4 linked regions of the Arabidopsis thaliana genome follow. The protein of the gene in region 4 interacts with the protein of the main gene of each other region in a pairwise test. Each region holds a gene or a part of one and is shown on either strand. Other genes may lie near its edges. The genes, in order: BIM3, HSFA1E, HAT9 and AT5G41580.

What was found.
Region 1: the proteins of AT5G41580 (region 4) and BIM3 interact in a two-hybrid assay, tested with the Arabidopsis thaliana proteins (one large-scale study listed by BioGRID).
Region 2: the proteins of AT5G41580 (region 4) and HSFA1E interact in a two-hybrid assay, tested with the Arabidopsis thaliana proteins (one large-scale study listed by BioGRID).
Region 3: the proteins of AT5G41580 (region 4) and HAT9 interact in a two-hybrid assay, tested with the Arabidopsis thaliana proteins (one large-scale study listed by BioGRID).

Annotation. Positions count from the first base shown.
Region 1 is NC_003076.8:15,557,034-15,562,385, forward strand, and holds BIM3 (BES1-interacting Myc-like protein 3), read left to right. Parts: upstream 1-1,867; 5' UTR 1,868-2,049; coding exon 2,050-2,204; intron 2,205-2,302; coding exon 2,303-2,378; intron 2,379-2,457; coding exon 2,458-2,553; intron 2,554-2,697; coding exon 2,698-3,035; intron 3,036-3,523; coding exon 3,524-3,653; intron 3,654-3,776; coding exon 3,777-3,878; 3' UTR 3,879-4,093; downstream 4,094-5,352. Other genes in the region: AT5G38850 (Disease resistance protein (TIR-NBS-LRR class)), read left to right, coding at 1-178, 270-1,397.
Region 2 is NC_003074.8:671,549-677,689, forward strand, and holds HSFA1E (heat shock transcription factor A1E), read left to right. Parts: upstream 1-1,879; 5' UTR 1,880-2,065; coding exon 2,066-2,311; intron 2,312-3,279; coding exon 3,280-4,440; 3' UTR 4,441-4,472; intron 4,473-4,572; 3' UTR 4,573-4,880; downstream 4,881-6,141. Other genes in the region: MCC1 (MEIOTIC CONTROL OF CROSSOVERS1), read right to left, coding at 297-441, 522-667; AT3G03000 (EF hand calcium-binding protein family), read left to right, coding at 5,840-6,141. UniProt on the Arabidopsis thaliana protein: Transcriptional activator that specifically binds DNA sequence 5'-AGAAnnTTCT-3' known as heat shock promoter elements (HSE).
Region 3 is NC_003071.7:9,703,895-9,708,546, reverse strand, and holds HAT9 (Homeobox-leucine zipper protein family), read left to right. Parts: upstream 1-2,329; 5' UTR 2,330-2,498; coding exon 2,499-2,909; intron 2,910-3,013; coding exon 3,014-3,093; intron 3,094-3,264; coding exon 3,265-3,598; 3' UTR 3,599-3,915; downstream 3,916-4,652. UniProt on the Arabidopsis thaliana protein: Probable transcription factor.
Region 4 is NC_003076.8:16,625,685-16,633,681, reverse strand, and holds AT5G41580 (RING/U-box superfamily protein), read left to right. Parts: upstream 1-2,861; 5' UTR 2,862-3,022; coding exon 3,023-3,201; intron 3,202-3,356; coding exon 3,357-3,429; intron 3,430-3,526; coding exon 3,527-3,592; intron 3,593-3,790; coding exon 3,791-3,856; intron 3,857-3,940; coding exon 3,941-4,023; intron 4,024-4,214; coding exon 4,215-4,266; intron 4,267-4,346; coding exon 4,347-4,418; intron 4,419-4,652; coding exon 4,653-4,720; intron 4,721-4,806; coding exon 4,807-4,855; intron 4,856-4,937; coding exon 4,938-5,022; intron 5,023-5,104; coding exon 5,105-5,206; intron 5,207-5,356; coding exon 5,357-5,408; intron 5,409-5,490; coding exon 5,491-5,542; intron 5,543-5,673; coding exon 5,674-5,790; intron 5,791-5,880; coding exon 5,881-6,549; intron 6,550-6,621; coding exon 6,622-7,119; 3' UTR 7,120-7,497; downstream 7,498-7,997. Other genes in the region: AT5G41590 (LURP-one-like protein (DUF567)), read left to right, coding at 1-67, 1,078-1,461; WRKY24 (WRKY DNA-binding protein 24), read right to left, coding at 7,993-7,997. UniProt on the Arabidopsis thaliana protein: Together with MOM1 and PIAL1, regulates transcriptional gene silencing (TGS) independently of changes in DNA methylation.

The sequences.
Region 1 (5,352 bases), 1.1 Mb from region 4:
ATATGATGAAAAAAACAGAGTGCGCATACCGGAGAACATGGAGTTTCCACCTCGTCTAAGGTTACTACAGTGGGAAGCATATCCGAGGAGAAGTCTTTCTCTTAAACTTAACCTGGAATATCTTGTCGAACTTGATATGGAAGGTAGCCTGCTCGAGAAGCTATGGGATGGAACTCAGGTTAGTTATCATAAATTCATATCTTTAATGATGTTATACATATTTTCTCTCTATTCTGATGTTTCTACTCTAACATCTGGTTTACATTCAGCCCCTTGCAAATCTCAAGAAGATGTCTTTGTCAAGTTCATGGTATTTAAAGAAACTTCCGGATCTGTCAAATGCTACAAATCTCGAAGAATTGGATCTGAGAGCTTGCCAGAATTTAGTAGAGCTTCCTTCCTCCTTTTCTTATCTGCATAAGCTAAAGTATTTGAATATGATGGGATGCAGAAGGCTAAAAGAAGTTCCACCTCATATCAACTTGAAGTCTCTTGAATTGGTCAACATGTATGGATGCTCAAGATTAAAAAGCTTTCCAGATATTTCTACAAACATCAGTTCACTCGACATATCATACACTGATGTGGAAGAACTACCTGAATCAATGACGATGTGGTCTCGCCTACGTACTCTCGAAATATACAAAAGTAGAAACCTCAAGATAGTAACACATGTGCCCCTAAACCTAACATATCTAGACCTCAGCGAGACTAGAATTGAGAAGATTCCAGATGACATCAAAAATGTTCATGGGCTGCAAATTTTATTTCTAGGTGGCTGCAGAAAACTCGCATCATTGCCAGAGCTTCCTGGTTCGCTCTTGTACTTATCAGCAAACGAGTGTGAATCACTTGAGAGCGTATCTTGCCCTTTTAATACTTCATACATGGAACTCAGCTTCACCAACTGCTTCAAACTAAACCAAGAAGCACGCAGAGGAATTATTCAACAATCATTTTCTCATGGGTGGGCATCCTTACCTGGAAGAGAGTTGCCCACTGACTTATACCACCGATCTACCGGACATTCCATCACCGTTCGTCTCGAGGGCAAGACTCCTTTTTCTGCATTCTTTGGATTTAAGGTTTTCCTCGTGATTTCCCCTAACCATGATGCTGAAGAAACTAGCAATTCTCCCTTATTTTGTCCTCGCATTGGCAAAATCGGTTGCTCCGATGACGAAACACCTATTTATATTATCCCCAAACCTCGAGCAGAACATCTAGTTATGTTTCACTCTGACTTGCATAACAAGGAAAAATGTCATGAAGTAGGCAACGAGATACTGTTTGAATTCAGCAACATATCCGACACCTATGAGATTATTGAGTGTGGTGTCAGATTCTATACAGATGAACAGGTGAAATCAGTGAAAGGAGAAATGAATATGAAATAGACCAAGTTTGTGAAGATGAAAACGATTGGAGCTATGAGTTTGGACCCGTGGAAGCATTGGAATGCTCTAAAAATAATGGACATAATGATAGCCTAATCTGTACTTCGAACGAAGACAAGATCGAAGCCAACAAATACACAGATTGTTGGAGTTGGCTCATCATCTGTTTTGATGTCTCCCATATTGTGAGAAGCATCGGAAGTTTAGTTTGGGGAGGAAGATGAGAGAAGCAAGAAGGAGAATATCAAAGTGGAGAAGTCGAACGAATTTGCAAGTGAGGAAAGAATATCTGTTTATACTTTACAATGACTTGTTTGGCTGCTTCACTGAGTTGGATATGATGAGTAGTAGCATCATACTGTTTGAATTCGGATGCAGCAAATATTACTGAAATGCAGTGTACGGATCGTGAAAACTGACAAAATTGATAGTAGCAACAACAGTGAATTAATTTGGGCCTGAAACTATCCGTTTTAAATGGGCTTTTGAGCCTTTCACATTATCTATGTAATTTTCGATTTTATCTTCCTTTTCTTTTCACCTTCTCGACGAACACACCTACACAAAAATCAATCACAGTCTCTGTCTCACTCGCCGGAGTTTCGGTCACTGCGCCATCTCCGGGGTCGAGTTCGTCGTACTTCATCGAACTATGAACTCTCATGATATCGATGATCAGTTAGAAGCAGATGTATACAGTAACTTGCCTTCTCGAAATGATTCTTCAACAGGGAGGAGAAATCGAAACTCGTGTAGATCGAAACACTCAGAGACTGAGCAACGAAGAAGAAGCAAAATCAATGAAAGGTAAATAATAAGTGTTCAAAGTTTGAATTTTTATCAGATTTTCTAAAAAGGGTAACAAGAAAGTTTCGTAATTTGTGATTGTTGGTTGGTGGATACAGATTTCAGAGTTTAATGGATATTATACCTCAGAATCAGAATGATCAGAAACGAGATAAAGCTTCTTTCTTGTTGGAGGTTAGTAAAATTTATAGTTTTGAACAGAACATGTGTTTCAGAGAATCAGAATGATGTTTGCTTTTATATGTTGTCTCAGGTTATAGAGTATATTCACTTTCTTCAAGAAAAAGTTCACATGTATGAAGATTCTCACCAAATGTGGTATCAATCCCCAACCAAATTGATTCCTTGGGTATATTCCTTCTCCTATCTTTGGTTGGTTTTCTGTTATATTGAATCGTTTTTGTTACATTTTTTTAGAGAAACATGGTTATTGTGTTAAGTGTTTCATCTTTCTTGGTATTTTTGACAACTGTTTCATGTAACTTTGATGCAGAGAAATAGTCATGGGTCTGTTGCGGAGGAAAATGACCATCCTCAAATCGTTAAAAGCTTTTCAAGTAATGATAAAGTTGCTGCTTCTTCGGGTTTTCTCTTGGATACGTACAATTCAGTAAATCCTGATATTGACTCAGCAGTTAGCACCAAGATTCCTGAACACAGTCCTGTTTCAGCAGTTTCATCGTATCTACGTACCGAGCCTTCGCTGCAGTTTGTTCAGCATGACTTTTGGCAACCAAAAACAAGTTGTGGAACAATTAACTGTTTTACAAATGAATTGTTAACATCTGACGAAAAAACATCAGCCAGCTTGTCCACTGTCTGCTCACAAAGGTAAGACATATGTAGAGCAAAATAAAGCTTTTTTTGTTCAGTAATTAATTCATTTTTTTGGTAGAAAGTTTGGGTTGGTATATAGTTTCTCACGGATGTACACTCATTTCCTTCCTGTCTGGCTCTCCTTAAACAGTGGCTTACCTTTTTTGGATACTAAGAGAGAATGATATAATACAAGGTTCCAATGATGCCTCAGCTATTTGCGGAGACTTCTTGTTTGCCTTGGCTATGAAGTTCTGTAGGATAGAGTATGAGATAAATGCTGTAAACTTGGTAATTGTTAGAGGAAAAGATTTTGCATAACCATAATCCAAAGTTTCTCTTTTGAATAGTGCTTCTCTCTCCTAAATAGGTAGTCATTCAAACTGAAGATCCTATCTGCTTCTGTATTTGGAACAGACTCAGGGTTCTAAAAACGGATAACTGGAGGAAATAAAGATGGAGAGATTTGATTGAAAACTCTTGTTTGGTTTGATTGTGAACAGGGTACTTAACACTCTAACTGAAGCACTTAAGTCATCGGGTGTTAACATGTCAGAGACCATGATATCTGTGCAGTTAAGCCTTCGGAAAAGAGAAGATCGCGAGTATTCTGTTGCTGCGTTTGCTTCTGAGGTATGCCTGTAACATTTTTACAGTGGAAAAGAAAAAGAAGTCTACTACTCTGCAAGTAATTCTTATAAAAACATTTCTATGTATTTTAATTTGTATTTTGATGCTATGTATCTTTTTCATTAGGATAATGGTAATAGCATCGCTGATGAAGAAGGGGACTCTCCTACTGAAACTAGAAGCTTCTGCAATGATATTGATCATTCCCAGAAGAGAATAAGACGATAAGATCTGGTTTTCTATTTTCTATGTTATGACAACTGTTTGATAATTTTGTTACTTTCGGTGAGTCAGGATCAGTAGGTGTAGATACTACTTTTATCGTGCTGCAACTATTTTAAATGATATAGTAAAAACTAAGTAGAATGATGTAACAAGTTTCGCAAATCTATAACAAGAGTTTGCTCCATTTAATGGTACTTTAAGTATATGGTCTCTTAGATATATCACTTCTTGCCCTTCTATTTCTCACACTATTAACCGGGAAATTATTTCGTGCTTGTTGACATGTCTGTATCAAGTAATGCGTTTGATTTGCAGAAAGGAGTCCTTGTTTTCTTGTGTCTCAAGCTTGATTTGAGCTAGAGTATCTAGATCTTTAGATTCAAGAACAGATGCAATATTCTGTAGAAGTTGAAAACTCATCTTTATTCTTTAACCTTATGTAAATATGACTGTCTATACAACAGATAGTTCATCTCTCGACTAAATGTTTGGTATATATATGTATATATTATGATACTCTTGTTCGATTAAGGAGGCTGTTTGTTTGCTGAAGGAGATGAAGCAGGAGGAGGGCCAGGTTTGTTTGGTGGTGGTAGGAATGGGAATGGAGGAAATGGAAAGATCGACGGAGGTGGAGGAGGAGGAGGAGGAGGTGGTGGTGGTGGATTTAGGCCTGGAAAGATCGGTGGCAGTGGAGGAAAGAGAGACCATGGTGGAGGAGGAGTGGGAAGAGGAGGACGAGGCTGAAATGGGTTTGGAGGGAATATCGATGGAGGAGGAGTGGGAGGAGGCTGAGGAGGATGAGGCTGAAATGGGTTTGGAGGGAAGAACGACGGAGGAGGAGAAGCTGGAGCTGGAGGAGGCTGATGAAATATTGGAGGGAAGAACGACGGAGGAGTTGTGGGAGGAAGCTGAGGAGGATGAGGCTGAAATGGGTTTGGAGGGAATATCGATGGAGGAGCAGGAGGTGGCTGAAGAGGACGAGGCTGAAATGGGTTTGGAGGGAATATCGATGGAGGTTCGGGAGGTGGCGGAGGAGGACGAGGCTGAAACGGGTTTGGAGGGAATATTGAGGGAGGAGGAGCAGGAGGTGGATGAGGAAATAATGGAGGAAATATTGATGGAGGAGGAGCGGGAGGTGGCTTAGGAAATAATGGAGGAAATATCGATGGTGGCGGAGGACGAGGCTGAAATGGGTTTGGAGGAAAGATTGAAGGAGGTGGTGGTCGAAACGGGTTTGGTGGGAAAAATGAGGGTGGTGGGGGCTTAAATGGATTGGGTGGGAAAATCGAAGGTGGTGGTGCAAATGGGTTTGGCGGAAAAATCGAATGTGGTGGCGCAAACGGGTTTGGAGGAAGAAACCATGGATGTGGGGAAAACAACTTATTGTCTGTCGTAATTATGTTTGCTTTGTTTTGCAGGTATCTTGATGATCTCCTCTTTTTGTGTTGATGATCTCTTCTTCTTGTTTGCCTAA
Region 2 (6,141 bases), on a different chromosome or scaffold from region 4:
GAAACCATCTGCCAGCTGATGAAGATAGATAATAAGAAGATAAAAACAACACTAGACTCAATTGCATTACCAGAGCTCCCAAAACAGATTATTCAATCATAATTCAGACATTATTACAAGCCGCTGTTCTAAAGATTTTTGACAAGTGAAATAACTTTTATTTAGTGTACATGATCACAGACGAACCAAAAACCATAAGCATTATGAACTAGTTCAACATTCAAGGTGATTACAGGACCTGAAAGATCATTATTGTTCGAATTACAAAAAGACGAATTCATAGAATGAAAACTAACCTCGCTATCTTTGGCAAGCACAAATTTGGCAGTAACAAAACCAATAAGTTCATCAGAGTGATCATCAGGCCGGCTCCGATCAACAGCAGCCCATGAGACGATATCAACTCCGTTCACAACACTCTGGAAAAACTCAGACTCATACCTGACAAAACAAAAATCAATACTTTAGAAATCTTTTCACAAGACACCAACATAGGAAAATCCAAGTAGATGGATGCATACTTGATGGGGAAGATATCGCGATGGATTTGCTCCAAACGATCTAGATCATTAGGGTTTATAGGTCTATAGTGAATACTTGGGCAAAGAGAGATTCCTGCATCTTCCATTGATGAATCATCTATGAATCTTCGAGGAAATCGCGACATTGTTTGGTATCCGAAGAACCAGAAAAGCCACTTCCCATTGTGAAGTGCCAGATCACTGGATCCGACCCGTTGAAGTAAATGGATCCGGATAGATTTAACGAATCTGGATCTGAGTGGGTTTGTTTGGATTTGATTGGTTAATCTTCGGCGAAGGAATCAATCAAGAACCGAGTTTCGAGCATGGGAAAGAAAAAGGTGCTTGCTTGCTTTGCCCTCTCCTCTGTCTCTTGGGGCTTTTTCTCGTTCCAAGTGAAGCATCTTGGCTCGTGTGCTTTGCGACAACCAATCACGTGCCTCTTTTAGAAGGAGAGTACTAATGTACTATTTATGAATGGAATATTCGATTCTCTTAAATGAAAAATTGTTCCATTTTCAATAATATAACCATTTTTAACAATAAAAATTCGTACTGTTTTTTCTATCTGAAAAAAATGGATTTGAAAAAATTCGTACTTTCGATTCATAATCTGCTTTTTATTATTATTCGTTATAAGTCTGTACTATGGTAAGAGAACCTTAAAATATTCCCCTCCACAACAAAAAATAAAAATCAAACTGGAGAAGAGTTAGGCAGTAAAGGAGAATTTCCTTGCCCTATTAACTCGATTAGGCGGGCCAATACACTTGTTATGTGTTTTCCACTTTTCTTCGTTACAAATTTAGATTAGTCTTACATGATGAGCCGTTAGATATCATAGAAAGAAATAATCTTATAAAATTTGATAAGATTTCTATAATCCACAAATCTGGATCGATGTTTATTTCAGATTTATAAATATTGTCTTAAAAAAAAAATTATTGGCCGTCTCGGCGGCAAGCAGAGAGAGAGAGACTCAACGTTTTCGTAACAACAAAACTTTGAGTAGCAGAAAATTATCCAAAAAAAAACGTGAAACGCAAATGGAAAAAATTGAGAAAAGTAACGCGAGTCCAGTGCCACGTATGAAAAAAAGAGCTTAGGACCAGATACGTTAATCAGAAAAAGACCAGGTACGTACGTTAATTAATGTTTTTTTAAAAAGGCCAAGCACGTTAGTCCAGCCCACGTGGTATTTCTTATCTTAACAACAAAACTAATTTTTTAATTTAATAATCGGACGTTGCAGAGGTAATCAGATCAACGGTAGAGATTACGACACGTTATATCACTCTGCGAAACTCCACCGCTTTCTGGAATTAAAAAAATCAGAGTGTATAAATAAAAGAGCAGAGGTAAAAGCTATCTCCAGAGTTTAATATAAGTGTAGACAGAGAGAGAGAGAGCTTCTTTCTTCTTCTCTTCGTCGCTAAGAGATGATCTTCGAATATAAATCTCTGTAAGGTTTGCGAAGACCGGAGTAGTGAATCTCGGAATTGTTGAAGAAGACGGTACACCGGAATCAATTGCGATTTTGATTTATGGGAACGGTTTGCGAATCTGTAGCGACGGCGAAATCTTCGACGGCGGTGATGAGCTCCATTCCGCCTTTTCTGAGCAAAACGTACGATATGGTTGACGATCCATTGACGGACGACGTGGTGTCTTGGAGCAGCGGAAACAACAGCTTCGTGGTTTGGAACGTGCCTGAGTTCGCCAAACAGTTTCTACCAAAGTATTTCAAGCACAACAATTTCTCCAGCTTCGTCAGACAGCTCAATACTTATGTGAGTGAACTTCGATCGATTCTTTTTTATTTGTTTTTCTCTTCATTGATTCGATTTTCTTCAATTTCGTAGTTCGATTTTAGGGAATCTTACTTTATGTGCTTCATTTTTATTTTACTCTCTTGTTTTTTTTGTGGTTGAATTAAGCATTAGTTATTGATAAAACTCACGAATGATTTAAGGTTGCAAGAAGGTGCTTTGAGAAGTCGACTCCTATTTAGTGTATAGTATGATGCTACTGATTGATGTTCCTATATAGTTGTTGACGCTGGTGGTTGAACTATGCACGTCTAGTAGGTTGTGTTAATGTTGATTTTAGTTGCACTAACTGTTAAGATTGGATCTTTTTGGGTTCTGACAAACTCGTGCAAGATAATTTCACATATTTGTATTGTTCTTCAGTTGTTTTTTGTACATGTATACCCTGTGAACTGCAGGCATATATGTTTTTGTTTTTCTAAGTATCTGAGCTTGCATCCGTGTCTGTGAGGCTGGAATGAATTTTCTTAGGTCAAGCAAAACTAACAAGTGTATACTCTTGCGTAGCTTGTTCCTCCCCTGTTCTTATTTACTTACCAAAAGGTTCCACGAACTTTGCAGGCTTATTTGGACATGTGCTCATATGTGTCTGACGATTGGTTGATTCAGCACTTCCATTTCTGGCCTCTTAAGTCACAAAACAAAATTTCTATCAGTTGTCCCATGTTAGCTTTCCATTCGTTTGTATTTGTCCGTCCAGGTACATGCCGATACACTAACAACTGTATTAGTTTCCTTGGACCATGGTAGTTTGGTGCTGCAGCTAGACCCAGTGAACGTATCATACCATATCTAGAATAGTTGTTATTAACGTATTTAATGGTCTTTATGTTTATACAAATCTTCTATGTTGGCTTCCTATTGCAACGGAATCCAAGTAACTTCTTGCGGTTGATGACTGTTCCATTCTCCATGCTTCTTTTTTTCAGGGTTTTAGAAAAGTTGATCCAGACCGCTGGGAGTTTGCAAACGAGGGCTTTTTAAGAGGCCAAAAGCAAATACTAAAGAGTATTGTCCGGCGAAAACCTGCACAAGTGCAGCCTCCACAACAACCTCAAGTTCAGCACTCATCTGTGGGTGCGTGCGTTGAAGTGGGCAAATTTGGACTCGAAGAGGAAGTGGAAAGACTTCAGCGCGATAAGAACGTCCTTATGCAGGAACTTGTAAGGTTGAGGCAGCAACAACAAGTTACCGAACATCATCTGCAGAATGTGGGGCAGAAAGTTCATGTGATGGAGCAGAGGCAGCAACAGATGATGTCCTTTCTAGCAAAGGCTGTCCAAAGTCCAGGTTTCTTAAACCAATTTTCTCAGCAGAGTAATGAAGCAAACCAACACATTTCTGAAAGCAACAAAAAGAGGAGGCTACCTGTTGAGGACCAGATGAATTCTGGCAGTCATGGGGTTAATGGTCTTAGCCGCCAGATTGTGAGATATCAGTCATCGATGAACGATGCAACAAACACTATGCTTCAACAGATACAGCAGATGAGTAATGCACCTAGCCATGAATCTCTCTCAAGCAATAATGGTAGCTTTCTTTTGGGCGATGTTCCAAATTCTAACATTTCAGACAATGGGAGCTCCTCAAATGGATCACCTGAAGTTACATTGGCAGATGTTTCATCCATTCCTGCAGGCTTCTATCCTGCAATGAAGTACCACGAGCCTTGTGAAACAAATCAAGTCATGGAGACCAATTTGCCTTTTTCTCAAGGTGATCTCTTACCTCCAACGCAAGGAGCAGCAGCTTCTGGGAGCTCAAGTTCGGATCTTGTTGGATGCGAGACAGATAATGGAGAGTGTTTGGATCCAATAATGGCTGTTTTGGATGGCGCACTCGAACTAGAAGCTGATACCTTAAATGAGTTGCTTCCTGAAGTCCAAGATTCTTTTTGGGAACAGTTCATTGGTGAGAGCCCAGTGATTGGTGAGACAGATGAGTTAATCTCAGGATCAGTGGAAAATGAACTGATATTGGAGCAACTAGAGTTACAATCAACCCTGAGTAATGTGTGGAGCAAGAATCAACAAATGAACCATCTTACTGAACAGATGGGACTTCTCACATCAGATGCTCTCAGAAAATGAGATTGCCACAGGCCACAATCTTTCCTCACGAGGTAATCAGTCTATCTATATTGATATGTTATAAACCACACACTTTCCAAAATTTAAATTTTGTGCAAAACCAAACCCCTCGTCTTTGTCTTGTTATCGCAGATGGGTTAAGATTTTGTGGAGCCGCAACAACAAAAAGAATATGACCAAAGGAGGTACTATGTATGTATGTATCAAACTGTTGTAACTCTAATTCTTGTCAATGTATAATAAAATAAGAGAAATATTGCCTTAAAAGATTTTTGCATTGCAATATCTTTGTTTGTTACTGACAGAATGAAAAGGAGATGCTTCAAAGTGAGAGATATTCTTCTGTTCTTGTGTATGTCTTTAGAGATCCTTGTTTATTTTTGTTACATTAAGTGCAAAAATTGGCATTTTGGTTAACCTGTGGCCAAATCTTACCTGCTTTAGTGTTTTTTTATCAGTCCTTCACTTTTAGTTTCTTGAGTAAAACTAATGTTCCAATTTCGTCTAAAGGAAATCATCTAAAGAGAGAGTAAAAAGGAAGAACGTGTGTCGTGTGGATATAGTAACAAAGTGGTTTAAAAGGATCAAGTCATTGATTACACGGAATCAAAGTGTATGTACATGCATATGTTAAGCTCTGAAACTGCAACCGAACCAGATCCATTTGTCGTTTGTATCAATCTTAAACTTGCTTTTAACATTACATACAACATTACATATGATATTACCATTAGTTGTAATTTATATAGCTTATATGATATATATCTATTTCTGAAAACTATATAAATATTTTACATATGATAAATTTCACAGATATCTCATGGATATATTGCTTTAAAAGAGGATATGAACATTAATAAACATGTAATTTGTTAAAAGAATTGATAAAGACCATATATTAAGGATAAAATAGTTACTCTGAAAGAAAATTTGAACATTCATGCATGCAATATATAACGTATGTCGAACACTCGATTCATATATAGCTAACAAATGTCGAAAATATTATCTTCTTTAAAATACGAATCAAAGCTATAACATTTTTCTATTGTCAAGAAATCTTTTGGCATCCATTTCTACAAACCAGTTCCGGTGAATTAACGCTTAGCACGACTGTTTTCCCTCCACCGAACAACCTTTGACCGTTCCAATAATTGGTTCAATTAATAATTTAATTTAAAAAATTTCGTATTCCATCCACAATCATTTATTTGATTTAAATAAAATAAAATTTTTATTCTCTTGCTCATTAATAAGAAAATCAAAATCTTTACTCGTTTGAAATTTGTAATCCATTACCTGTCATCGTTGACTTGTCAAGAAGAAACAAATCAACTCTAAAAAGAAAAATGTTGTTCATCGAAATCGAAGCTTGACAGTATTCAAAATCAGATTCGAGATGAGCTGCGACGGAGGCAAACCGGCGCCGGCGAAACTAGGCGACGAACAACTAGCGGAGCTCCGGGAGATATTCCGATCATTTGACCAGAACAAGGATGGAAGTTTGACGGAGCTCGAGTTAGGCTCACTTCTAAGATCTCTCGGTCTAAAGCCGAGTCAAGACCAACTCGACACATTGATCCAGAAAGCAGATCGGAATAACAACGGACTGGTCGAGTTCTCCGAGTTCGTCGCCCTCGTCGAGCCAGATCTGGTCAAGTGTCCTTACACGGATGATCAGCTTAAAGCCATCTTTAGAAT
Region 3 (4,652 bases), on a different chromosome or scaffold from region 4:
AAACTGGTCCATCAAAATAACAGAAATAATTAGTGACATAACTAATTAATTTAAATTTTCCATATGCACCACCATATAAGATATAAATAAATGTTTTAGTTTTAAGAACAAAATAGACCGCAAAATTCAGAAAGTTGTTTACATGTTTGAAGAACTATTTTGAGTTTTGGACTTTGGTTTGAATTCTTCTGGCTTACAAGAAAATAAAATATTGTTGACAAATACAAATATATATTTCTATATTATATACATAATGTGAGCTAAATTCATGAATATTTGCACAATGTCAAAGTCAGATTATACTAATATTCTATTAGAAAAATAGTCTAATCAAGTAGCAATGAGCACCAATTCCACGGTGCGACACCATATTAAAGTTTATAGTTAAAATTGATGAACTATTCTACTTTTTATCAATTTAATTAATATTCCTCAAAAAAAAATCAATTTATAATTAATATAAGATTATCCACGAACTTTCATCATTCTTAATTTCCTAGCATATTGATAACTCGTCGTACCTAGAAAAAGTCAAATGTTATACAATGATATGAACTGAAAAATCACATTAAGTTATAATTGGTATTTTTCATTGATTGAAGCATTAATATCGTGTGTGTGCTACTAGCAGAATTAGGGGGTAAAACAGAATTTCGTTAAGAAAATGCATTAATTAAAAAATAAGAAAGATATATATATATATACATATATATATATAAGAGTAGATTATAAATGAAAAAATAATTAAGGATTAAAAATAATGATAATAATAATATGTATAAGATGGGTAACCTAACTTTACTTGGACGGTCGACAAAAAAAAAAAAAAACTTTACTTGGACGAGTATAGCCGACAAATTCATTATTGGGAAGTGCCAAAACAAATAACAAAGCTGAGACCAAACCTAATGAAACGTTACACATAAACTTTCTTAATCCATTACTCCAAAGATTTTAGGTTATTGTTGACGAATCGTATTCACCCATATCATTTTTTTAGTTTCTACCCACTTTTATTGTACTTCTCCTTTGTGTGTTCTCTTGATAATTCTAATGTTACGTCAGGTAACCAAACAAAAAGTGATTTAAAAGGTGAGCACCCATTTTTTACAACTGTTTCGACCACATATTGCAATTTGAATAAAAATCGGGTAAAATAAACCTAACTACGGACTTAAGACTTTTGATTATATCTAGCGATATAGCTTGACCGAGTCTTAATTTGTGATGTAATGACTGCTCAAAATATAATAGTTTGAATTCCGGCTTTTAACACCATGCATGGTATAAATCAGTAACATTTGTTATCATGGTATAGTGACATTTATATATATAGTTGTTCTTATTTTAGTATTTTACCCTAATATATAAATATATTCGTACACTTTAGTTTCAAAATGATTTTACTTCCTTTTTTCTCTTATATGTTTTATTGGTACATCAGTTTATCTTGAAAGAGAAAGCGCGATATGATATATTATAAAACTCTAGGAAATACTTTGTAATCTATATAGATAACTGTGAGTTAAAGCTCGAGACTAATTATGGATGTAACGAGTTATTGGTACGGATGAATCACCTTGTTTAAAAAATTTCGAAAATAAAGTATATGCCTAAGCCTAACTCTTTCCAAAAAGTACTAAATTAATTGGTGAATGACATCAAGAGAACCAAACCTAAACAAGATGGTGGGGATCACTATCCATATGTATACGAAGAAAAAAAATAACTAAAATATATAATACATAATTAAATAAATGAATAAAACATCAAGGGCCAATGTGTTTCTATGATAAGGAAAAGGAGGCTGAAAATTAGTGGGTAAAAGTAAAACTGTCTTGTGGTCCGTTATTTAAAGGCACCTCTTAATCACTTTCTAATTACTATTCATACTAATTTCGTCTCTTTTTTTTTTTTTTGTCTACAATAACGTACGCTTCATGATAAAAATATTCATGATATAAAAATCTAAAATACCGATGCCGACTGAACCCAATGATACCAGAAAAAGAATGGAGAAAGCTTTAAATATAATATTTAATTTATATTCATGATACGATAATTCCATCTTCTACCAAATATAAAATCATTGAACTTTTTCGGGAACTTTTCTCTTATTAGTGGGAAGAATAGTAGCAAGTGCCAAGTGAGATGCTCATTTGGTCAACCTTTGCAAGTAAGAAAAATAAAAGTAGAGAGAATTGTGCCATCATAATTTCCCACATTATTTTTTTTTTCTTTCAGGAAAAGAATTACCAAGAAAATAAAATCATTTCTTTAAAATAATATAAATCATTCCTTTGATTAATAACTATTAGCCATCCACCCACCCATCAATTTCTTAAAAATATAAAATAAAAAAAATACTTTTCTTCTCCTTCTTAAGAAGCCCCATTGGCTTCATCTCCTCCCATTATCTTCTAAACTCATTTCCTTTTCCTCTCGAAATCTCAAAGATAGATAAATTTTAAAGGCATATTTTTTTCATTTCGACTCAGATGGGTTTTGATGATACATGCAACACAGGTCTTGTTCTTGGATTAGGTCCCTCACCAATTCCAAATAATTACAATAGTACCATCAGACAATCCTCCGTTTACAAGCTCGAGCCGTCGTTGACTCTATGCCTCTCGGGCGATCCCTCGGTTACCGTGGTGACCGGAGCTGACCAGCTATGCCGTCAGACGTCATCTCACAGCGGAGTCTCTTCTTTCTCAAGCGGGAGGGTGGTGAAAAGAGAGAGAGACGGTGGCGAAGAGTCGCCGGAGGAGGAAGAGATGACGGAGAGAGTTATAAGTGATTACCATGAAGATGAAGAAGGTATTAGTGCTAGAAAAAAACTTAGGCTTACGAAACAACAATCTGCTCTTCTTGAGGAAAGCTTCAAGGATCATAGCACCCTTAATCCCGTAACTACATATCCTTAATCCTAATTCTTTTTTATTATACGTTACTAATCACTTTTGATAATTCTTATCCAATCAGATTCTTTGTTGTTATATTTTATTTACAGAAACAAAAGCAAGTTCTGGCTAGACAGCTGAATCTAAGGCCTAGACAAGTTGAAGTATGGTTTCAAAATAGAAGAGCCAGGTAAAAAAAATTATATTATAAATTATCAGAATATTTGATTTTTTCATGTGTCAAAATTTCTTTAATAGTCAGAAAATTTTGTAGGTGAAAATATTTTCTATTTTTTAGGTGATATGATTTTTCTTTCGGTTATATATATTTAATTATTTATTTTATTTAATGAATGAGCAGGACAAAGCTGAAGCAAACAGAAGTAGATTGTGAGTTTTTGAAGAAGTGTTGTGAAACATTAGCAGATGAGAACATAAGACTTCAGAAAGAGATTCAAGAACTCAAAACCCTAAAATTGACTCAGCCCTTTTACATGCACATGCCTGCATCGACTCTAACGAAGTGTCCTTCTTGTGAGAGAATCGGCGGCGGCGGCGGGGGTAATGGAGGAGGAGGTGGCGGCAGCGGGGCTACCGCGGTGATTGTAGATGGAAGTACGGCCAAAGGAGCTTTCTCTATCTCCTCAAAGCCTCACTTCTTCAACCCTTTTACTAACCCATCTGCAGCTTGTTGAATAGTAGTAATTCGTTTAATTTTATTACTTAAAATATTAATTTTCTTTTTTTTTTGGGTGGCATTTTAACTAGTAGGAAGAACACAAAAACTATGTTAGAAAGGGTAAGATGCGTATAGATGGTCTCTTCTACAATTCCCACTTTGTTTTTCAGTGGGATTGCTGGTTTGAGAAAAAGAATAGTTTGTAATTATTATTTTATTTGTAGAAAAAGGTAAAATAGTCTTCACTTTAATTTATACATCTTATTTTCTCACCTTCAATTTTAGTCAAGTAAATCATGTTTGTAATAAATGAAAAACTATTTAACAATATAATTATACATGGGAATTTTTCATGCATACTAATGATCAGCCGATGATTACTTTCATCATTTTGTGTTTAGATCTTAAGGGGCTGTATTGTTCATAAAAAAATAAAAAGATAAAATATATAACGTATAATATCATATTTAAATGGGACTCAATGGATGTGGTGGTGATAAGCTACAAGAATACTAAATTACAAATCTCAATCTAAAAGTTAAAACTTTATACGCTAAAATACGACATCTATGTAATATAATGGTAGGTCATGTTTTACATCACATTAAACATCTAATGCAGTTTTCGTTTGATCTTTCCTATTATATTATATGACATTTCAAGCTTGTATAAGGTTCATTGGATTATTGCTACAAAAAGAAAGAATCTTATATTATATCATGTGAAAACATCTGATAATTAAGACTATATCATAACAAACAAAGTTCTTTTATATTAGATTCATCATTCATCTAAACAAGGCAGTGGTATCAACTTGATTTGTATTTGAACTCTTGAATCCAAAAACGGAAAGAAAAATTGATGGAAACTATGTTTTCCCACCAATAAATAAAAAGTTATATGGGAATACTAAGCAGATGGGAAAGCCACAACTTTTAAAAGGGTTTATAATTTTAGTAGCACCAAACTTTTCTCTTTTGAGTAAATCCAAAATTGAGTTGTGTAATCAGAAGCATTAATTTGATGTGATAGTAATTCTTTTACTCAAAATATTATACTTATGGATTATC
Region 4 (7,997 bases):
CCGACCCGAGGAACTCATCCTCATGGATAAAGATGGAAACTCCCTCCTCCTCATGCATCGTACCAAGGTAAATATATGTACAAAGTATTTAGAATAAACTTATTTGAATATGTTTTAGAATATGGATCATTATATTCATTGTACACATCATCCTTCAAAATTACAATATCACATTTATTTTAGATTATTAAGAATCAAACCTCTACTAAATCTGTCTCACAGTTGTACTTATGAATCTGTTTTGTTAGCGTTGTAGTTGTAAATTAGTTGTGTAGATATTAGTTCTAGGTTGTAGTTATAAAACATCCAAATACTTGATTGATACAAAACAATAAATGGAGCAACAACAAAATGATTTATAAGAGTTGTGAATTTTTGGTGGAATTTACCAAAATGATATAGAAATACTTTAAAAATTGAAAGAAGTTTTCGTCGTCCTTACGGATCACTCTAGCGAAGTATCGGATCGATTTGCTTACAACCATTAGAATTGTGATAGTTTGTAAATAGTACTTAAGGTCGGCGATATGTTGATAATAATGAACAATGAATGTTGAGTATTAATTTCGCTGATAGACATGTTAGCCGATTTTGTAGAAGACGTTTTGTTTTTAGCCGATTGAAGATATGTATGAACGAAGATATTACGAATACTATAGTATATATATTATTAAGATTGAGTAGGACCAACTACACTACCGTGACACCGTCCACAATAGGTCACGTCAAAAGTTCATAAATATTCTGCATGTGGACAATTGTATTGGCAAGAATTTCGTGTAACCCGTTACATTCTTTGGGAATAGATTTACAAAATTTCATTCAGCATAAAAGTTTTGACTATAAAAGTATAATCATAATTTCATAACGACGTCTAGAATCTCCGAGTATTATATGTTTGACTTTTAGTTTCACCAAAATCTAGCTATGCCTAATTTCGTTTAAATTGATCAATTTTGACGTGACTACGTACATATGGATCTAGATATTTTTACTCAATGCAATTTTATAGACAAGTACTAGTTTGAGTTTAAAATGTTGTGTATATTAAAAACGATTTTCCTTTGTATTGTCCAGAAAATTACGCTAGTAGATAGTTGGGGAATCTATGAAGCAAATGATACAAAAGGAGAAACAAAAATACCAAAGTGCCCAACCTGGTACATGAGGAAGAACTTAAAGATGAATATTCTGAGCACCAAATCCGACATTTTGGCATACGTATATTCAGGATCGTTCGATAAGAAGAATTCATACATCATCAAAGGATCGTATAGATGTAAATCGTGTAAAATAGTGCACGTCCCATTGAACAAGACAGTGGTGGAGATCAAAAGGAAAGAGGTCAGAACCAAAGGAGTCCGGTTCGGTTCAGATGTTTTTGATCTGGTTGTTAATCCCGGTTTTGACACCGGTTTGGCAATGGCTTTGGTTTTGTTATTAGATCAAATGTTCTCTTAATTAATTAGAGGTGATCACTGGAGATAATAAACATCCTCTTTTTTGGGCCAATTGTACAGTACTATTTTAAAATATTTCATAAATAATCAAACAGTATAGTATAATATACTTATATACATGATCTTCTTTGTGAGCTTTCTAAATATGCTCATCCTATAAAATGGGAAAACAATGCCCTGGTAAAACCGTAAGTGTAGTAGTTTTTATGATGTTTATTTGAGTAATTTGATTAACTTGATGTTCTAATCTGATGAGGTAGAAACAGTAAGTTATATCTAAATAAAGTGGTTTATGAATTTTAGAATGAATAACTTATTTCAGGTGCAACTACTTTTCTTACTTGTTATGATGGTACTGAAAAAATGGTTACCAAATTACCTCATTTTCAATAGGACAAGTCTTGTGCAGTGACGGAGCTAGAATTTTAGTTTACAGGGTCATATATAATTATATATTTTTATTTAATTATTTATTTTAAATTAAATAAATATGTGTAAGAACAACTTTGAAAATAATGTAAAGAACAATATATGGAATATGTTTATAAAAGTAAATATGTACCACAATTTTAGAGATTTGTAGCCATATTTTAGAAAAAAACACAAAACAAAAATGAAAAATGAATTAATGCTTAATAAAAATAAACATGTGAGGGGTCAAATTAAAGAATCGATTATCGGCATGGGGTCATTATGGAAAATTTAAACCAAAACATCCATAAATTATTATGAGATTTAACTTAAAAACAAAAAATTATAAATGTTATGGGGTCAATTGACCCCCTTCTCCCTTCACTACTTCCGCCCCTGGTCTTGTGAGACTATACATGACGAAGTGTCCATTTCAAGAAGGCAATACCTATATTACAAATTAATGCAGACAAATAGAAACAACATAAATGCCTACATTTATGTGGTTGCAGTATTTATTTTGGTAACTTGTCTCATATGGTTATAACAAACTACCTAACGGTAATCATCGAAGATGCATTTTGGAGCATATCATCATATCGACTATCGATGGTAACTAACTGGTAAGATCCAAAAGAACAAAGGACAAGAGCTAGTTTATGAATCAAAGTGGGTCTTCAAGCTCAAGATCATTCATACACATGTTTTTATCATATTTCTTTTATAGCCTTTTTAATTTAATAAGTAAACTACTAGACCTAACCAAGGGTTCATAGTAGTGGTAATAAGGGAAATTATTACAAATAGTACAAAATAAGTTTTGTTACTAAAGTTAACACACAATTTCTAAAGTTTCAAATTTAGTAATTAAATATTTGGGGATATAATTCAGAAAACCTTTAAAGTGCAAGGGTAAAAATTCAAAAAATAATTACATAAAGAACAAATTACAAAACAATAAAGCAAAATTAATTACATGGACTTCATAAAAACAAATTAAAATGAAAAAACAGGGTCAAAGAGAATTTTAGGGTTATTGTCGATTGAGCAGAGTAATTTATTCCTTCTTCTTCTTCTTCTTCTTCAAATCGTGTTTCTCCATTTCAAAATCCAGAAACTTTGTGATTCCACGGTAGTTAGTTCCAATCTCAATGTCTACGGCGGCAGCGGCTCGTCCGGTGGCTGGAACTGGCTTACGGGAGAAGACGGCAGCGTCACTGGTCAATTCCTTCCGATTAGCGTCGGTGACTCAACGTTTACGTTACCACATTCAAGACGGAGCTAAGGTTGATCCTAAGGAGTTTCAAATCTGTTGCATCTCTTTCGCTAAGTAATTTCCTCTCTCTCTCTCTCTCGCCATTACTTATAGATATTAACATGCGCGCACAAAAATCAAAGCTTTTCTAAATGATATTCTTTAATCTCTGGGTTTTGATTTTTTGGCTGTGTTTTTGAATTGATGATATGCTTAATTTCTCTGTTCAGAGGCATTGATTTTGCTATAGCGAATAATGATATTCCTAAGAAGGTTGAGGAGTTTCCGTGGTTACTCAAACAGGTTATTTCTCAATTAAAATATGGATTTTTTTTTTTTTCTGGATTAATGGAGGCCATTGTTAGTGAACTGATGATAGTGCTTGTGTTATGTGACGTAGTTGTGCAGACATGGAACTGATGTGTACACTAAGACGGCGCTTATGGTGCTGATGATCTCTGTTAAGGTAATTAAGAGAGTAATCTGCAGACTGCTTCTGTTCTGTGAATAAGCACTTTTTTTTTGTTTAGAAAAGAGAAGCCTTTTGTTTAGATTTCATGTCGGTTGGAATGTTTGAGGTCAAAAGGTTTTCACTTTGTCACCATCTATGATGACTCATTTGGTTTTGACATATAATACTTTTGATTTTTGTTAAATGTCACAGCATGCTTGTCATTTGGGATGGTTTTCGGATAGCGAGAGTCAAGAACTTATCGCTCTAGCTGATGAGGTTTGTTTTCTTCCGAATCATGGTATAAAACCAAAAGCAGGTTATTTGGATGATGAGGATACAAATGTTTTCTTTCTTATTCAGATAAGGACTTGTTTTGGGAGTTCTGGAAGCACTAGCCCTGGTATCAAAAGTCCTGGCAGTACATTTTCGCAGATCATGGAGAGGTAGGTTTTGCTTTCACTGTGTGGCTTTGTTGATTGACATAGATTTTACTCTAGCAGTTTATTAGGAGCGTGAATATTTCCAAACTTTTATCACAAGTTAGTTAAGCAGTACCAAAAACTTCTTCAATAGAATGGTATTCACTGGATACAAATCTAAGCATTGGTTGAAATTTATTTCTTTCTGATCCCAGGTTCTATCCATTTGTAAAGCTTGGGCATGTTCTTGTTTCTTTTGAAGTGAAGGTGAGCCTTTCTTCTGTTCTAAACATCTATTTCTGATATTATCATCTAAGTGTGCTTTTTTGGCTTTCCTTGCATGACAGGCTGGCTATACAATGCTGGCGCATGATTTTTATATCTCAAAGAATATGCCACATTCACTCCAAGAGAAAATTGTATGTGTGGCTCATCTGTTAGTCATTCGATATCTCAGTCTGGATCTCTCTATAATAAATTCTACCTTTATCTGTGCAATTAGGTGGAAAATGTGAATATAACCATTGCTTGCATTCTATCTAACAGTCCTTCATATACATTTTTGAATCTATTTCATCTTGTAGATGTGCCCACTCTCTGCACCTTTTGGTTAGCAAATGATTTCTTACACCAGATTCTTGTTTGCTCTTCAGCGGTTATTTGTTGCCCAGACAGACAACATAGACACGTCTGCCTGTATTTCAAATCCTCCAGAAGTCAGGTATGCGAATTGTTTTTGCTATTTTTCCTCACCGACACGAAATGTGATCCAATTTAACCTTCCTGGCTTTCATATGAAAATTGCAGCTTCTTGCTAAATGGAAAGGGGGTTGAGAAGAGAGTCAATATCGCAATGGTTTGTGCAGTTTGACTTTTAATTGGATTTTGTTTCTCTGCACTGGTTATGTGCATGTTTATGTCAATTTTTTTCTTTCCAGGATACAGGGCCTCAACTCCCTACAAATGTTACTGCACAGCTGAAATATGGAACTAATCTTCTCCAAGTGATGGGGAATTTTAAAGGTTTCTATTCAATTATATATATCTTTTTTGTTGTCCATGTCTATTTAATTAATATCTTATTAAGATGCTTGATTGTTCAAAGGAAATTACATCATCATAATTGCTTTTACGGGACTGGTAGTGCCACCTGAAAAACCGGTTCTTAAAGATTACCTTCAGTCCGGAGTCATTGAAGCAAGTCCAGGTAATTAAAGAGCATAAGATAGGAGAGAGGAACATTTTTCTTGAATGCTCTATACTATTCCAGTTTGAATCATTCAATGATTGCAAGCACATACCTGTAAGATTTTTTTTCCAATCTAATCGCTCTGTACTTTTTTTTACCTGTCTATAGATTCAGACATCATTGAGGGGCCATCACGAGTATCTCTCAGTTGCCCTATAAGGTACCAATTCTACTTTTTTACGTACTACTGTGTTATCTTATGGTTGTTTTTTTGGTCAGTGATTTAGTCTTTAATAAAACAGTCGCAAGCGGATCAAGCTACCAGTCAAGGGCCAGTTATGTAAACATCTTCAGGTGATGCAATCAAATATCAAGCGATATTCTCTTTTTTTCCATCCTTTTAAATTGGCATACAGTGTTTTAATGTGGGTGTTACCTTATTTTTCTCGTAATATTTGTTAGTGATGTGATACTTTCTGCTGCAGTGTTTTGATTTCTCAAACTACGTTCACATAAATATGAGGAACCCAACCTGGCGCTGCCCGCATTGCAATCAACCTGTTTGCTACCCTGACATTCGTTTAGATCAAAACATGGCCAAGGCAATTAGCTATCTATGTTGTAATTTGATTTCTGCTACATTTTTGCGTTGCAGCTTAATACTGATAACTCGTCTCATATCATATCCTTAGATATTAAAAGATGTGGAACACAATGCTGCTGATGTAATCATCGATGCTGGTGGTACATGGAAGGTTACAAAAAATACTGGCGAGACCCCGGAACCTGTGCGTGAGATCATTCATGATCTAGAAGACCCGATGAGCTTATTAAACTCTGGTCCTGTTGTTTTCGATCTTACGGGGGATGATGATGCTGAACTGGAAGTTTTTGGTGACAACAAGGTTGAGGACCGGAAGCCCTGTATGTCTGATGCTCAGGGTCAATCTAATAATAACAACACAAATAAACATCCTTCAAACGATGATTACTCTTCGATATTTGATATCTCTGATGTGATCGCACTTGACCCGGAGATTTTATCTGCTTTGGGAAACACTGCGCCACAACCGCATCAAGCTTCGAATACTGGAACTGGTCAACAATATTCAAACTTATCCCAAATACCAATGTCCATAGATCCAATGCCGGTACCTGTACCATTCTCGCAGACACCATCTCCAAGAGATAGACCAGCAACTACTTCCACTGTCTTCACCATACCGAATCCCTCTCCACAATACTCTCAGGTTCATGCTTCACCTGTTACACCCACCGGAACATATCTTGGTAGAACCACTAGTCCGAGATGGAACCAGACTTATCAATCTCAAGCGCCACCAATGACAACTCCATATACGGTTTGTGATTTCGTTTGAGAGACTTGTTTCTTTCTTCAGTATTCGTATGTTGACAATATGTGTTCCTTGCAGAGCCGGAAGGTCTCAGTTCCAGTAACGAGCCAGTCGCCAGCGAATGTATCCTCTTTTGTTCAGTCTCAGCATGTCCCTAGAGTACTCAGCCAGCCTAATAATTATGGCGTCAGAGGTTTAACCAGTAGCCATGCAAGCACTTCAAGGCAGCACCCAAGTGGTCCCACTGTTCAATCTGTTTCTCGATTAAGTGACCTAGTGGATGTAGACTTGACGGTTCCTGATACATCCAACTGGCGCCCGAGGATGCGAGGAAGTCTTGTGCCCGGTTCTCATTCCACTGCTCTTGACCACATGATCATCCGACCTAGCCAACAGTCTCAAACTTCCACTAGGCTGAATAGTTCACAGCCGGTTCAGACACCATCGGTTCAAACGTCTCAAGCTCAGTCACCTTTTACAACGGCTGCCTATAGAACCGAGACAGTTTTAGGAAACCGAAACCATCCGGTGCCCGCTCCTCCTGGCATTGTTAGGCCTACTGGACCGACATCTTGATGGAGAACTTGAGAGGCTAGAACAAGGGGAAGTTGGTACTTAGGAGTTAGGACACAACACTTAACATAATAAATTAGTAACTTTATCACTTTCCCACGCCATGAACAGAGTTTAGGATTCCGGTGCGCAAGTCGTATTCTGTTTATGAGGGATTAGTTTGTATTTAGCTTGCTGTTAACTTGTAATGACGATCAAACTATAAGTGTTATCAATTACTCTTGTACCCAATAAGTTCCCTTAGTTTTCTGAACTGGTTTTTTTTTGCCCAGAACTAGTTTGAGTTAGTTAGGTTTTGGATGCAAAGTGTTTTGGTTTTCTTGTGTAAGACATTTATGCATAAAGGACCATAATACATACTTTGGCCGGTTTAGTGATGAATTTTGGGATTTGAAAGAGTAATCACAAACAAAAATCGACAACGTATCATCTTTCAAATGTCTTCCGGTTGATTATTTGTACAAGTTTTCTCTCTCTCTGAAGCATGTTTTTCTTCTTTAGAATTCTCTAGTTACCAAATGTCTGGACCCTAACTTCTCTCTGTTAAGTATGTAGAAAAATATCAAAGAAGTTGTAGAGAATGAGGGTGGGTTTAATGAAGTTAGAGGAAACTACCTTTTCATACTTACATATGTAACTAAACTTGTTTTGTCTGGTATTTGTCAAATCATCGGCGTAAACCGATCATAAACCAGAAATCAGGGGATAAAATTCAGAAACATTTGTAAAAAGTCGTAACTGTTACATTGGTTTAAAATCTGATCTACACACTTGTGACTTGTCACTTGGGAGATGTGGGTCGTCAAACGGTCAGTGGGGTGATTAACACCTTAATCACCTTTAAGTAATTACACCATTAATTAAGCCATTATATATTCAAA